Linked DNA regions of Mus musculus. The protein of the gene in region 1 interacts with the protein of each later gene in a pairwise test. Links are inferred from orthologs where the notes say so. Each region holds a gene or a part of one and is shown in the gene's direction. Other genes may lie near its edges.

Region 1 (6,672 bases):
CTGTAACTTCAGTGTCACTGATCTCTTGGTGATGATCTTGAGGAGGCTTTGTTTCTAGGAGGCGGATTGTAGTTGGGTCACACTGAAGGATGTTCTATCATGGGGCCATATTGAGGGATGTTCTAGTAACTGCCAGAAGGTCACACCAAGGGTTATTCTAACCATCAGCGTATGAGTGCTGTTGCTTCTTAACATAGAGAGAATCTTGACTATTCTTAAAAATCAGTTGTAGCTATCATTATCATTTCTACTTTACTATGTGTTCATTATGACTTGTGCCACTGACCATATCCCTTGATAGAAAATACATTTTAAGCCAGAGTTCCAGTCCTGGAAACATGAACATGGGAATCATCACTGTCTACAGACTTTTAAAAACTCATCTCCAGGCTGGTGAGATGGCTCAGTGGGTAAGAGCACCCGACTGCTCTTCCGAAGGTCCGGAGTTCAAATCCCAGCAACCACATGGTGGCTCACAACCATCCGTAATGAGATCTGACTCCCTCTTCTGGAGTGTCTGAAGACGGCTACAGTGTACTTTCATATAATAAGTAAATAAATCTTAAAAAAAAATTAAAAAAAAACTCATCTCCATCTTCATTTTGTGTTCTACTGTTATATTTCTTGCTTGGCTTTTTCTAATCACCCCTTATTATTGTATTACTTTAAAAACTGCCCTAAGTTCCTATTTGGAACATACAGCAGAAAACTGACACCTAAGCTCCCCTCCCACATATGTCCCTGGGAAGTAGGTACAAAAATCTCGGAAACAGTAAAATTTTTCTGAATGTGCAATAATAAAAGTTTAATCCAGAAATTCTAAACACACTAAGGTGTTTCTGGCAGAGCTTCACAGTGCTGCATTGCACTTCACAGTGGTCTTGCTTCTATACACACATTATTCACTCTTTGCTCTGTGCATGCTGTTACACCGTGGAGTACCAAGAAGTGCTGCATCGAAACTCAGTTCAGATGCAAGACTACCATATGGTATGGCTGCAAAAGTTTTACTTATCACATACAATTGTCTTCTCTTATAGAATAATAATGTCATAATACAGAGAACAAGACATTTTTAATATTCTCCTACCATCATTCCTTAGCATAGGAGCTTCAAATGAGTATGTTTGGTTATGTTTGGATTATATTGTGTTTGAATGTTTAATATTTAAAATCAATGTCTTAAGTCTCTTTATAAAAAGGTAACAGAATTTTAACATAGGATTAGGATGAAATTTCCAAGATGACCCTAAATATATTTTTTCTGTTTCATGCTTTGAGAATTGTAAATCAAAATATTAATTAACTCTGAACAATATTACAGATGTTCTACATTCCACAGCTTCAAGTACTCATTCAAAACCTAATTTTTTGTAACAATAAACAAATCAATCTCATTGGTATGCAAATTTGCCTTAATCTTTAGTAAGTGGTAAAGTCATATATATGCCAAAAATTATCTTAACATTGCATTAGGATCTACCATTAGTCGATGTCTGATTTGAACACCTATTTTATATAAAATCCCAAGATTACATAAAAAGCATCTATGAAAAGAGGTTGCCCGTGGGAAAAGTTTAAGAAACCCCGCTCTACTTCTCAGTGAAGGTCTCAGGTTGTGATGAGGGTCCCTGCACAGGCTGGGTGACGTGTTCCCATTCAAGACGCCACCTACAAAACTTGGGCAGCAGCCCTGACTTTGCAGGGTGCGGACGAAAAGTCCGGAATGCCTCCTTTCTGGCTGCATGGAAAAAGCTGGACTGAGCCTCACTGGTTAGCCATGACTTCTGCTAACAAGGACACCCACAGCAAAGGGGCCTAAATTAGGGGACCAAGTGATTTTGTGAAAAACTCAGAGACTTTGGATTGAATGGAAGCAGGGGACATTCCTCTGATAGCTAAGAAGTAGGGACATTGGTTGGTCTTTGCTGAAGGAATTTAGTTGTGGGTCCTGAAGTTCAGGGACACATTTCTACTGGTCAAATTCTAAGTGAACTTACTTGGCAATTTGCCTCCTGATGTGCGGCAGGGCTAGCTGAGGTCACTAGAGGATGCTAACTGCTCTAAAGATTTGTTCACTGCTGTTATGTCAAGTCTCTGCTTTTGTGGAGGAATTTGCCTCATGTGTACGTTGCTTTGCTTTTCAAGCACTCCAGACTGGCTCCAGGTGTAGAAAATGCCATGTTCTTCAACATGCATGCTTTCATCCAGCAAATATACTGAGGCCCTTCTAAGTGTCAGGAGTTGGCTGCCCTTCTTTCAGAAGACATGGAGGGTTCTTGATGGGATCTGAAGGACCCTTGGACTTCTTAGTGCCACTTCAGACTTGAGGCACCCGCCTCTGCCTGTGCTGTTGGAAACTGCTGCCAAGTCAGCCTGACCCTTCTGAGATCCTGGAGAAGTTATGGAGAATACGTGAACAGCGTCCCCACCTGTGTTATTCTCCAACCTGTGCTCTGTGGTTGGACAGTTTGTAACCGAGGTGGTCCAGAGTTGTTTGGTTAATTGAAAGAAAGGAAGGAAGAAGGTGGGAGACAGAGGGAAGGAAGGAGGGGACCCTGGCATAGATTGGCTGGACTTCCTAGGTCCTGAAATGCAGCGGAGCGGAGTCCCCTCAGAAATTAACTCCAAAGGCCACCCACTGACCCGCTGCACACAGCCAGAACTCGCCCCCAGAGCCTTGTCTAGTGGTGGCCAAGGCCATCCACCACCACCTTCCGGTCACTGCCTGCTTTCGATCCTCGCGGAGAGCGCTTCCTCTCTCCTGACATTCTCCTCCTCTTCGCTCCTCTGGATCCCTCCTCCTTCTTTAGTCCCTCCTCCTCCCGCCCAGCCTCCCCCAGTCCCGACCCGAGCTAACTAGACGTCTGGGCAGCCCCAGCGCAACGCGCAGCAGCCTCCCTCCTCTTCTTCCCGCACTGTGCGCTCCTCCTGGGCTAGGGCGTCTGGATCGAGTCCCGGAGGCTACCGCCTCCCAGACAGACGACAGGTCACCTGGACGCGAGCCTGTGTCCGGGTCTCGTCGTTGCCGGCGCAGTCACTGGGCACAACCGTGGGACTCCGTCTGTCTCGGATTAATCCCGGAGAGCCAGAGCCAACCTCTCCCGGTCAGAGATGCGACCCTCAGGGACCGCGAGAACCACACTGCTGGTGTTGCTGACCGCGCTCTGCGCCGCAGGTGGGGCGTTGGAGGAAAAGAAAGGTAAGGGCGTGTCCCACCGGCCCGCGCCCCCTGCGAGCTAGCTCGCCCAGTCCCAACCTCCGCTCGGGACTCTAAGTCCCCAGCCGCCCGCTCCTCCTCTTCTGGCTCCCAAAGGCGGCCGGGACCATAGGAGGAACTGGACGGAGTCTGGAATGGGCGAGACTGGGGCCGCCGAAGGAAGGGAGACTGGGCTAGGAGCAGAGGGGCTGCCAGGGCAGCGTGGGAGCCGCGGCTGTGCGCTCCGGGGCTCTTGACTGCTGCCAACTTAGTTGCCTCACTTTCCTGCGCTCAGTAGGCGTTCGGAGCAGAAACGTGGTGCGGGACAGCGCGGGACGCCGGGCATTGGCGCACGTGCGCCCAGTACTGTCAGGGAGAGCGGAGGGACCCCGGATCCTCAAGCGGGTCGGGTGTGTCCCACCCGCTCAGTGTGAGAGTTGAGGGACTGGAGTGCGAACCAACGCGCCCCTGGTCAAGGTCGGAACCTCTGAGACGCGCGGTTTCCTGAGCGCGGTTTCCCTCAACTCCTCTCTTCTCCAGCAGGGTACTCTCAGGACCTGGTAGCCTGAGTCCCAATGTAGCTTGCAGATTTCTGGCTTGCCCTTTCGCGGGTGTGTAGTTGCAGCAATGACCTGGAAGTGTGGAGATCTCTCTGTCACTAACCACCTAGGACTTCTGGGAAGAGATGGTGTTAGTGGTCATTTGCTTCTTCACTAGGAAAAAAAAAAGGAGGGCGTGGGGGTGGCGGGTGGGGTGGGTCGATTCCGCCTCTTAGGCATAGAGCATGCCAGAGACTTGCCAGGCTAGGTGCACTGGTTGGGGACCAAGGCTCCATGCCAGATTGGAGCTAGCGTTGCGGGGTGGCTACTTCCCCTGGGATCCCTGAATTTGCCCTTTCCCAGAAGCTTGGGCTGCTGCAGCATCACTTGCCTTTGCAATGGATGGCTGACCTCCTTGTGACAGCTGGGCCCTTGGGTGTAGTGCACCCTTGGTGTTTCAAAATGAGGCCGGTAGCAAACTTTCTTACTTGTTAGCTGAGACGTTCCCTCTTGGGTTTCTTTTTCTTTTCTTTCCTTCCACACCCCTCCCCCCCCCCAAGTGATTGATATTTGGCCAACTAAAATATAACCCCTAATTAAAAAGAAACATTGATGTCCATGGATCACACATGCCAACTGTCCAGACGGAACATGAACAAGTCTGGCTTCATGACTATCCGACCATAAACCCACTTGACACGAGAAACATGCCTCGGAAGGTTTAATTGCACAATTTCAAAATCCAGCCGCTCGGGTTCCAGGAGTCAGGTCTGCACTTGCTGTTGATGTCATCCGCATCCAAGTTGGACTTGGGGGTTGGTGCTCCGTGCACTTTTGTTGGAGGGGGTGTAAGGCTCAGTTTCCCAAACTTAACTACACAATGAAATCATTTGGGTTTAAAAATCAACAAGCAAAACAAACTACACCCCTCCTCCGTTGTTTAGCTACCACTCCATACACTCAGATTTCACGGGTCGATCTTGAGAATTAGAATTTTCAAAACTCTTGTAGCATTTGATTTGAGACTCGCTAGCATAAATGAAAAATTGATAACATCTAAAGGAAGACTACCACGACGGTTCTAACGAGCAGGAGTCTGGGAAATCTTGCAGTACAGGAAATAGCAGGGATAAAGTCGGTAAAGAGGGCTTGCTTTTTTCACAGATGGGATGGAGCACTGTGGAGCTTTTCTCCTACCTTCCTTAGCTGAAGGGCTCCAGGCCCCATCGGTCAGTTGCCTGGCATCTGTGCCTACCCATAGGACTCCCTCCCCTAGTTTTCAGTTTCCCTTAGAGCCCCTGTAGAACACCAGTTGTCTCAGCTTAACTCTGTGTTTCTTCGCTGTTAGGTGTTACTGTTATGAACACTGTTAGTGGTTGGAGATTTGTTTTCGGTTAAATAAAAATGCCACTTCATCTGTCTGTTTGTATGATATTCACTTAAAGCCAAATGCTTCTGGGTGTAGCAGGAAAGGTAGCAAGCAAATATTTATCTGTCAAAGTAACGTAAAAAGGCTAAGTTCTAAAGGACAGATTATTGAAAACGTGAGACACCCTTTCTGCAACAGGCTGATAAAAGATTTGTTTGTTTAATTGGTCAGTTTTGTTCCAGACTGGCTCCCTTAGTTGAGGTAGGGTGTTTATCCTTCCCTCCAAATCTATGGTACCATATGTAAATGTCATCAAAGCAGAAGACAGTTAGACTCTGTTTTCAGTGCATTGTCAGTCCTCACATTGCATGTAGTGAGAGGTGATTCTCATCATCTGTTTGGGGAACCTATGCACAGAGAAGTGTAGTGATTTTCCCCCATAGCTGTTAAGAAGTGATGCCAAAATTGATTCAAGTTCCTTCCACCTCCAAACTACACTACCTTATTGTAGGAGGACCAGGCTAGGTTAGGTGTGTAAATGACTCAGTTCTGATGCTAGAAGGATAAGGACCAGGAAACAGGCATTTGAAAAATCAGTCCCCATCTGAAGCTTGCTTGTTTAGTGGCCTACTTTCCTGTTCATGGATGCTGTGGTCTCCTGGGTTGCCTTTGATGGGGGCAATGTTGTCACTAAAACAAAATATGGGCAAGGTATTAGCTTGGACTTGCTGAGCAAGTTCCACCTGTACCATGATGGCAGGAGAAGGCGCTTCTTTGGAAAAGATCCTGTGCAGAGCAAATGAGGAGAGAAGGGACCCTCAGCCTGAATAAGGCAGTGGAGTTTGGAGGTGGAACCAACTTGAAGGGGATTCCAAAGGCTTCTCAAGACTGTCTGTCTGTCTGTCTGTCTGTCTGTCTGTCTGTCTCTCAGAAGACTGGGTCTTGGGAAGCCCAGTACTGGCTTTCTATCCAAGAAGCTTATGTTTTCATTCCAGGTCTAGATTAGATGGAAAGTCCCACTGGAACTCCAGGCTTCTGAAGTCTCCTTTCTAGATTCAGTAAATGTTTATTGCTTGTCTAAGATGTGGCAGACATTATGAGTTTAAAGGGGGATCTTAATGATTATATTATTGCTTCCAAACATATGTAGTTCTTGAAACCACTAGTTAAACATTGGTAATCTGCTTTTCAAATATGTAAAACAGACTAGTACTCCGACTGACTTTCTTACGGTGCACATTCCCAGTGGTAGGACATGATGTTATCTGAAGTCAGGTGGTGACACCAATAGACTCAACAGCTTCCGTTGGCTTTATTTACTTAGCCTCATAAGTCATAACTTTTCTAAAAGGAAAAAAAGGTGCTGGATTTGATATCTTAATCTCTGAAGGCTCTATCACTACCAAAATGTCTGGTCCTTTTGACGGGCTATCTGTGAAACGTGTATGCTAAGAATGGCTTTCAATCTTAGCAGTTCAAGCAGCTTGCTTTAAAAGCTATATGGGAATTATCACAGGGGGCCCTTCTTTCATGTTTACACTTCTGGGTGATTTCTTTCCAACAGA
Region 2 (5,976 bases), on another chromosome or scaffold:
CAACCCAACTACTGCAACACTGGTGACACCGGAAGACGCTACAGTCCCCATTGCCGGGGTTGAAGCTACAGCAGACATAGAAAACCATCCCAGTGACAAGGTAAAAATAATCGTTACATTAATGCCATCGTTTATCATTTTCCCTGAGAATTCAGTATCAAAGCATCCTTACAAGGGTAATATATTTGATGTGTTTATGAAAAGATAAATTGCTTCTCGGCCTTTTGGTTAAGATCAAGTGTAGAAAAGATAAAGCAATATAAGGGATATGTTCTATGGGAGTGTAGAGAGGTGTGGGGAAGGGGCTATCTCAGGGGGCCATGCCAAGGCATCCCTTCCCCCTGAGGAACCAGCCACAAGCGGTATAGTATAGAATAGAGGTTTTTCAGGGAATGGGGAGGGGAGTTAAGAGGGTAGTAGAGGCAGAGAAAGGGAGAGAGAGAGAGAGAGAGAAAGAGAGAGAGAGAGAGAGAGAGAGAGAGAGAGAGAGAGAGGCCAAGAGAAGCAAAGAGAAGCGAAGAGAAGCGAAGAGAAGCAAAGAGAAGTAGAGGCTGGCCATGACCACGTGGAGAGAGGGGGAATGGAAGAGCCCAAGAGGGCAAGAGAGAAGCAAGAGTAAGGGGGGGGGCAAGCAGTCCCTTTTACAGTGGGTCAGGCCTACCTGGCTGTTGCCAGGTAACTGTGGGGTGGAGTTTAGACAGAATGCTAGCAATAGCCGGGCAGTGGTGGCAAACACCTTTAATCCCAGCATTTGGGAGGCAGGGGCAGGCAGATTTCTGAGTTCTAGGCCAGCCTGGTCTACAGAGTGAGTTCCAGGACAGCCAGGGCTACACAGAGAAACCCTGCCTCAAAAACAAACAAACAAACAAAAAAAAACCAAACAAAAAAAGAATGCTAACAATATTCATTTCTAAGTTTCATTTTGTAAGTACGATAATCACACAAATTCTCTGTAAACACTAGAAGTTATGGTGACTAATAGTGTACTTGCTGCAGTGAAGTGCTCTACAACCATTTCCTTTTACAAAATTCAAATTCAGGCTAACCCTGTGCTCTAGAATGGAAAGAACAACATAAATATGTTCACATGATAATGTCTGAAGAAACAGAAGGAAGAATTTTTTTTAAGATTTATTTTATTTACATGAGTACACTGTAGCTGTCTTCAGACACACTAGAAGAGAGCATCAGATCCCATTACGGATGGTTGTGAGCCACCATGTGGTTGCTGGGAATTAAACTCAGGACCTTTGGAAGAGCAGTCAGTGCTCTTAACTTCTGAGCCATCTCTCCAGCCCAGGAAGAATGTTTAATGGTAGCTTTGTAGAGATAAATAAGAATACCATGTCATTTGTTTTGTTTAAGGCTGAAAAACCTTCAGCACTTAATTCAGAAGAGGAAACTCATGAACAGTCAACAGAGCAGGACAAAACCTACAGCTTCGAGGTGGACCTGAAGGATGAGGAGGATGGAGATGGGGATTTAAGTGTAGATCCAACGGAAGGAACACTAACACTGGATCTACAAGAAGGTACAAGTGAGCCTCAACAGAAAAGTCTCCCGGAGAACGGCGATTTCCCCGCGACCGTGTCCACTTCCTATGTGGATCCTAACCAACGCGCAAACATCACAAAGGGAAAGGAGAGTCAGGAGCAACCTGTAAGTGACTCACACCAGCAACCGAATGAAAGCAGCAAGCAAACCCAAGACTTAAAGGCTGAAGAAAGCCAGACACAAGATCCAGACATTCCCAATGAAGAAGAGGAAGAAGAAGAGGACGAAGAAGAGGAAGAAGAGGAAGAGCCGGAAGACATTGGTGCCCCCAGTGATAACCAAGAGGAGGGAAAAGAACCTCTGGAGGAGCAGCCTACCAGCAAGTGGGAAGGAAACAGAGAGCAATCTGATGACACCTTAGAAGAGTCCAGTCAGCCCACTCAGATAAGCAAGACAGAGAAGCATCAATCTGAGCAAGGAAACCAAGGGCAGGAGAGTGACTCTGAGGCAGAAGGAGAGGACAAGGCTGCAGGCAGCAAGGAACACATTCCACATACAGAGCAGCAGGACCAAGAAGGGAAAGCTGGCCTTGAAGCTATTGGCAACCAGAAGGACACTGATGAGAAGGCCGTTTCCACAGAACCTACCGATGCTGCCGTGGTGCCTAGGAGTCACGGAGGAGCTGGTGATAACGGGGGCGGGGATGACTCTAAGCATGGTGCAGGCGATGACTACTTCATCCCCAGCCAGGAATTCCTAGAGGCCGAAAGGATGCATTCCCTCTCCTATTACCTCAAATATGGCGGCGGCGAGGAGACAACGACTGGCGAGAGTGAGAACCGGAGGGAGGCTGCAGACAACCAAGAGGTGAGCGAGAATAGTCTTAGCTGTGCTACCCACATCCCCGCACCCTGGTGTGCGTGTTTATAGCAGGACTTACTAAAATACAGGGCAGGGTGAGCATCCTCATCTGACGTGACTGAGAACAAAAGCATTGTGATTGGTTTTTTTTTTAAATTTGGAGATTGCATGTACATAACGAGATATCTGGAAAATAGAGTCCAAGTTTAAGCACAAAATTTTTTCATTTTACACACTCTCTCTATGTGTTGTATATAACTTATGTGTAATTTTTTACGATATTTTTATGTGTCTCTCTTTTTTTGGGGGGGGGGGGTTGAGACAGGGTTTTTCTGTATAGCCCTGGCTGTCCTGGAACTCACTTTGTAGACCAGGCTGGCCTCGAACTCAGAAATCTGCCTGCCCCTGCCTCCTGAGTGCTGGGATTAAAGGCGTGCGCCACCACGCCCGGCTTATGTGTCTCTTTTAACTGTGACCTGTCAGCACTCAACCAGTAGTTGGATTTTGGAGAATTACATATTTCAAGCACTCAGATTATGGATTCTCACCTTGTACAATTATATCTTTTTCTGCCTGCCTCCATCATTAGACTGAAAACAACATGTTTTTATGTGGCCTCCCATTAGAAGGTGACCTTGAATTTGAGTGACAGTTATTTGAGAAGTATGAGAAACAAAGAGCTAGAAATGTTAAACATTGCATAGGGAAGGAAAAGAAGCTAACAACGAGACCCTCATTAAGTTCATAAAATAACAAACAAAACAAAACACAACCCTTCTAAGCATTATTCCATTCGGGAGCGAGGGAGCTGTCACACTTGTTTTGTCTGAGCCTTGCTCCCTTTCTGAGAGGTCATAACTCCCCAGCACATCCAGCCTGTCCTTTGAACAGACCACGTGGATGTCTACAGCTATGGGAGCGCAGAAATGCAGACAGTAGAATTAAAAATCCCTGTAGCTGCCTGGTGGTGGTTGTGCAGGCCTTTGATCCCAGCACTCCAGAGGCAGAGGCAGCCAGATCTCTGAGTTCAAGGCCAGCCTGCGATACAGAATGAGTTTCAGGGCAGCCTCGTGTACAGAGTGGGTTTCAGGACTCAGATAAACCCTGTCTCCGAAATTAATTAATTAATTAATTAATAAAACACACAAAAACTCCGTCCCTGGAGCTGGCTGGAATTTTTGACAGAGCTGAAGAATGAGCCTGCTGTCTCAAAAGTAGGCGCCACTCTGATCCCGCTGAGCCCCTGAGTCTCTCAGAAAACCCCCAACTGACTCAGAGAGACAGCAACATTTGTAAAATTAACCATAAACATTAGAAGTACTGCACTATTACGCAAACACACACCCCGATGAAAACGCAGAAGTTACAGTAGGGAGAAAGGGTTCTGCTTTGATTTTAGTGGTTTAATCACCTTGGACCTTCTGGCAACTTCCTAGCAGCACCCCATAGAAACTGACCCTGTCTGGGGTGGCAAGAAGTCTCAAGTCCTCAGACCTCTCCTGCCATTCTAAGGTAGAAAATGTCTTACACCTCAAAACCTGCTGAGAAAGTTTTATAAACACCTCCATGTAGGTGACTGATGGACCCCCCATTCTCAGGACAGAATCCCAAGATAATATCATGGAGACAGCGCTCTCCCGACTCTGAAGGGGTGATCCTATCTCACATGGGGTGACTCTTGCTCTCCAAGGGTTACTGTCTCACTCTGCAGTTGCAGGGGTTTCCCAACTGAGATCTGAACATGCAGGGCTCTGTGGAGGTATGCAGGGCTTTGTGGAGGTATACACAGCTCTGTAGTGTTAGGCACAACTTCTGCAGAGGTATGCACGGCTCCATGGAGGTATGCACAGAACACAGTAAGAGAGAAAACAAATTACTGCTCTCTTGAGAACACTGAAATTCTGCTCTTGCTCTTTTCAAAGGCCAAGAAAGCTGAGAGCTCACCAAATGCTGAACCTTCAGATGAGGGCAACTCAAGGGAGCACAGTGCTGGTGAGTGGACACTGTGTGAGCTGCAGCTGGTCCAGGAGGGATGGAGTCTGCCATTTGGGTTAGCACCCCTTCCATTATGACCCAGAAATCCACGTCCCCAGCCTCCCCAAGGAAATAGTTCATAAAGTGTTGGTATTTCTAATATATGTTTGATAAACTATGGGTCATCACGCTTACAAACTGAAAGACCTGTTGAGATTGTATACAAAGCGGTCTATATCCCACCCCACCCCCAGACCCCACCCCACTTTCAGCTCTGAGAAGTACTGATTCTGCTACTTATTCTCAAACCCATTCTTCCCAACCATGAACATCTTTAATCTCAGTAAATTAAATTCCCTGGCTTATCTTCAGACCTCTCTGCACCTCGTTTCCTACACCTGAGATTCTGAGGGTCTCAGGCAAGCCAAGAAAAGCTCTGGCCCTCTTCCAGCTCCAACCCAGTCTGTTGTAAAAAGATGTCTAAACTCCTGTGCACAGGTCTGATGCCAGAGAGTCCATCTGCAGATTAGCACATCAATTAAAGTGGTTCCCAGCATCTTCCTGCTCTCCTGTTCTCTGGAATCTGACTTCCTGTCTTGTTTTGTTACAATGATGCCAACAGTCTGTTTGACTGCGTGTTTAATACACAATTTCTCTGTGTCTCTGTTCCCTTTCCAATCTTTCCTGTTAGGTTCTTGCACGAACTTCCAATGTAAAAGGGGACACATTTGCAAAACCGATCCACAAGGGAAACCTCACTGTGTTTGCCAAGATCCAGAGACTTGTCCCCCTGCAAAAATCCTAGATCAGGTAAGTATTCTGAAAAATGGTCCCCGAGATACACCAAAACTCTAGTTTCTCGAGTAGAAATAGTTTGCAATTGAATCTGTTTTATGAGTTGGGACACAAGTTATTTAAAATTTGAAGCAATATTGAAAGGGAACAGATACCACAGAAATCAAAGTACTTCAACTGTGCCATAAAAAATGAAGAGTGGGGCCGAGGAGATGGCCCAGTGGGGAAAGCCTTCCGTGTAGGTCTAAGGATGGGAGGTGGGATTCCCAGAACCCACATAACTGCTAGGTGGGAGTGGTAACTCAGGGACACTTAGAAGGCAGAGATGGGACTTACTGGAAAAAGCTGACTGGGAAGACTAGTGGTATAGATGAGCTCTGCGTTCAACTGAGAGAGTCTGCCTTAGCAAATAAGGTGGGGAGAGATCAAAGAGAACTTCTCCCCCATCAGCGTATGTCCCTCCCACCAGCAGCCTAAGCCCTGCCCACCAGCAGTCTAAGACCCGCCCACTAGCACTCTAAGACCCGCCCACCAGCAGTATAAGATCCGCCCACCAGCAGTATAAGACCCGCCCACCAGCAGTCTAAGACCCGCCCACCAGCAGTCTAAGACCCGCCCACCAGCAGTCTAAGACCCGCCCACCAGCAGTCTAAGACCCGCCCGTCTTCAGCTAAGGTTCTCCCAACATCAGCCTAAGCCTCCCCCCCCACACCCATACATGCATGTGCATCTCTGTGCATACATATGAAACACAGAGTAAAGTGTGTGCATTATACCCGAAGCACATAAAATATTTATATTTTAATTTTAAAAGATGGCGCTAGCATTTGAGGAGGAGAAATTTTGAATTCC

Evidence for each region. The genes of interacting proteins can lie anywhere in the genome.
Region 2: the proteins of Egfr (region 1) and Sparcl1 interact in a protein complementation assay, tested with the Homo sapiens proteins (2 studies listed by BioGRID and IntAct). The link is inferred for Mus musculus from reciprocal best matches to the Homo sapiens genes EGFR and SPARCL1.

Annotation. Positions count from the first base shown.
Region 1 is NC_000077.6:16,749,369-16,756,040, forward strand, and holds the start of Egfr (epidermal growth factor receptor isoform 1 precursor), read left to right. Parts: upstream 1-2,834; 5' UTR 2,835-3,114; coding exon 3,115-3,202; intron 3,203-6,672. UniProt on the Homo sapiens protein: Receptor tyrosine kinase binding ligands of the EGF family and activating several signaling cascades to convert extracellular cues into appropriate cellular responses.
Region 2 is NC_000071.6:104,088,763-104,094,738, reverse strand, and holds part of Sparcl1 (SPARC-like protein 1 precursor), read left to right. Parts: coding exon 1-100; intron 101-1,365; coding exon 1,366-2,361; intron 2,362-4,277; coding exon 4,278-4,347; intron 4,348-5,020; coding exon 5,021-5,139; intron 5,140-5,976.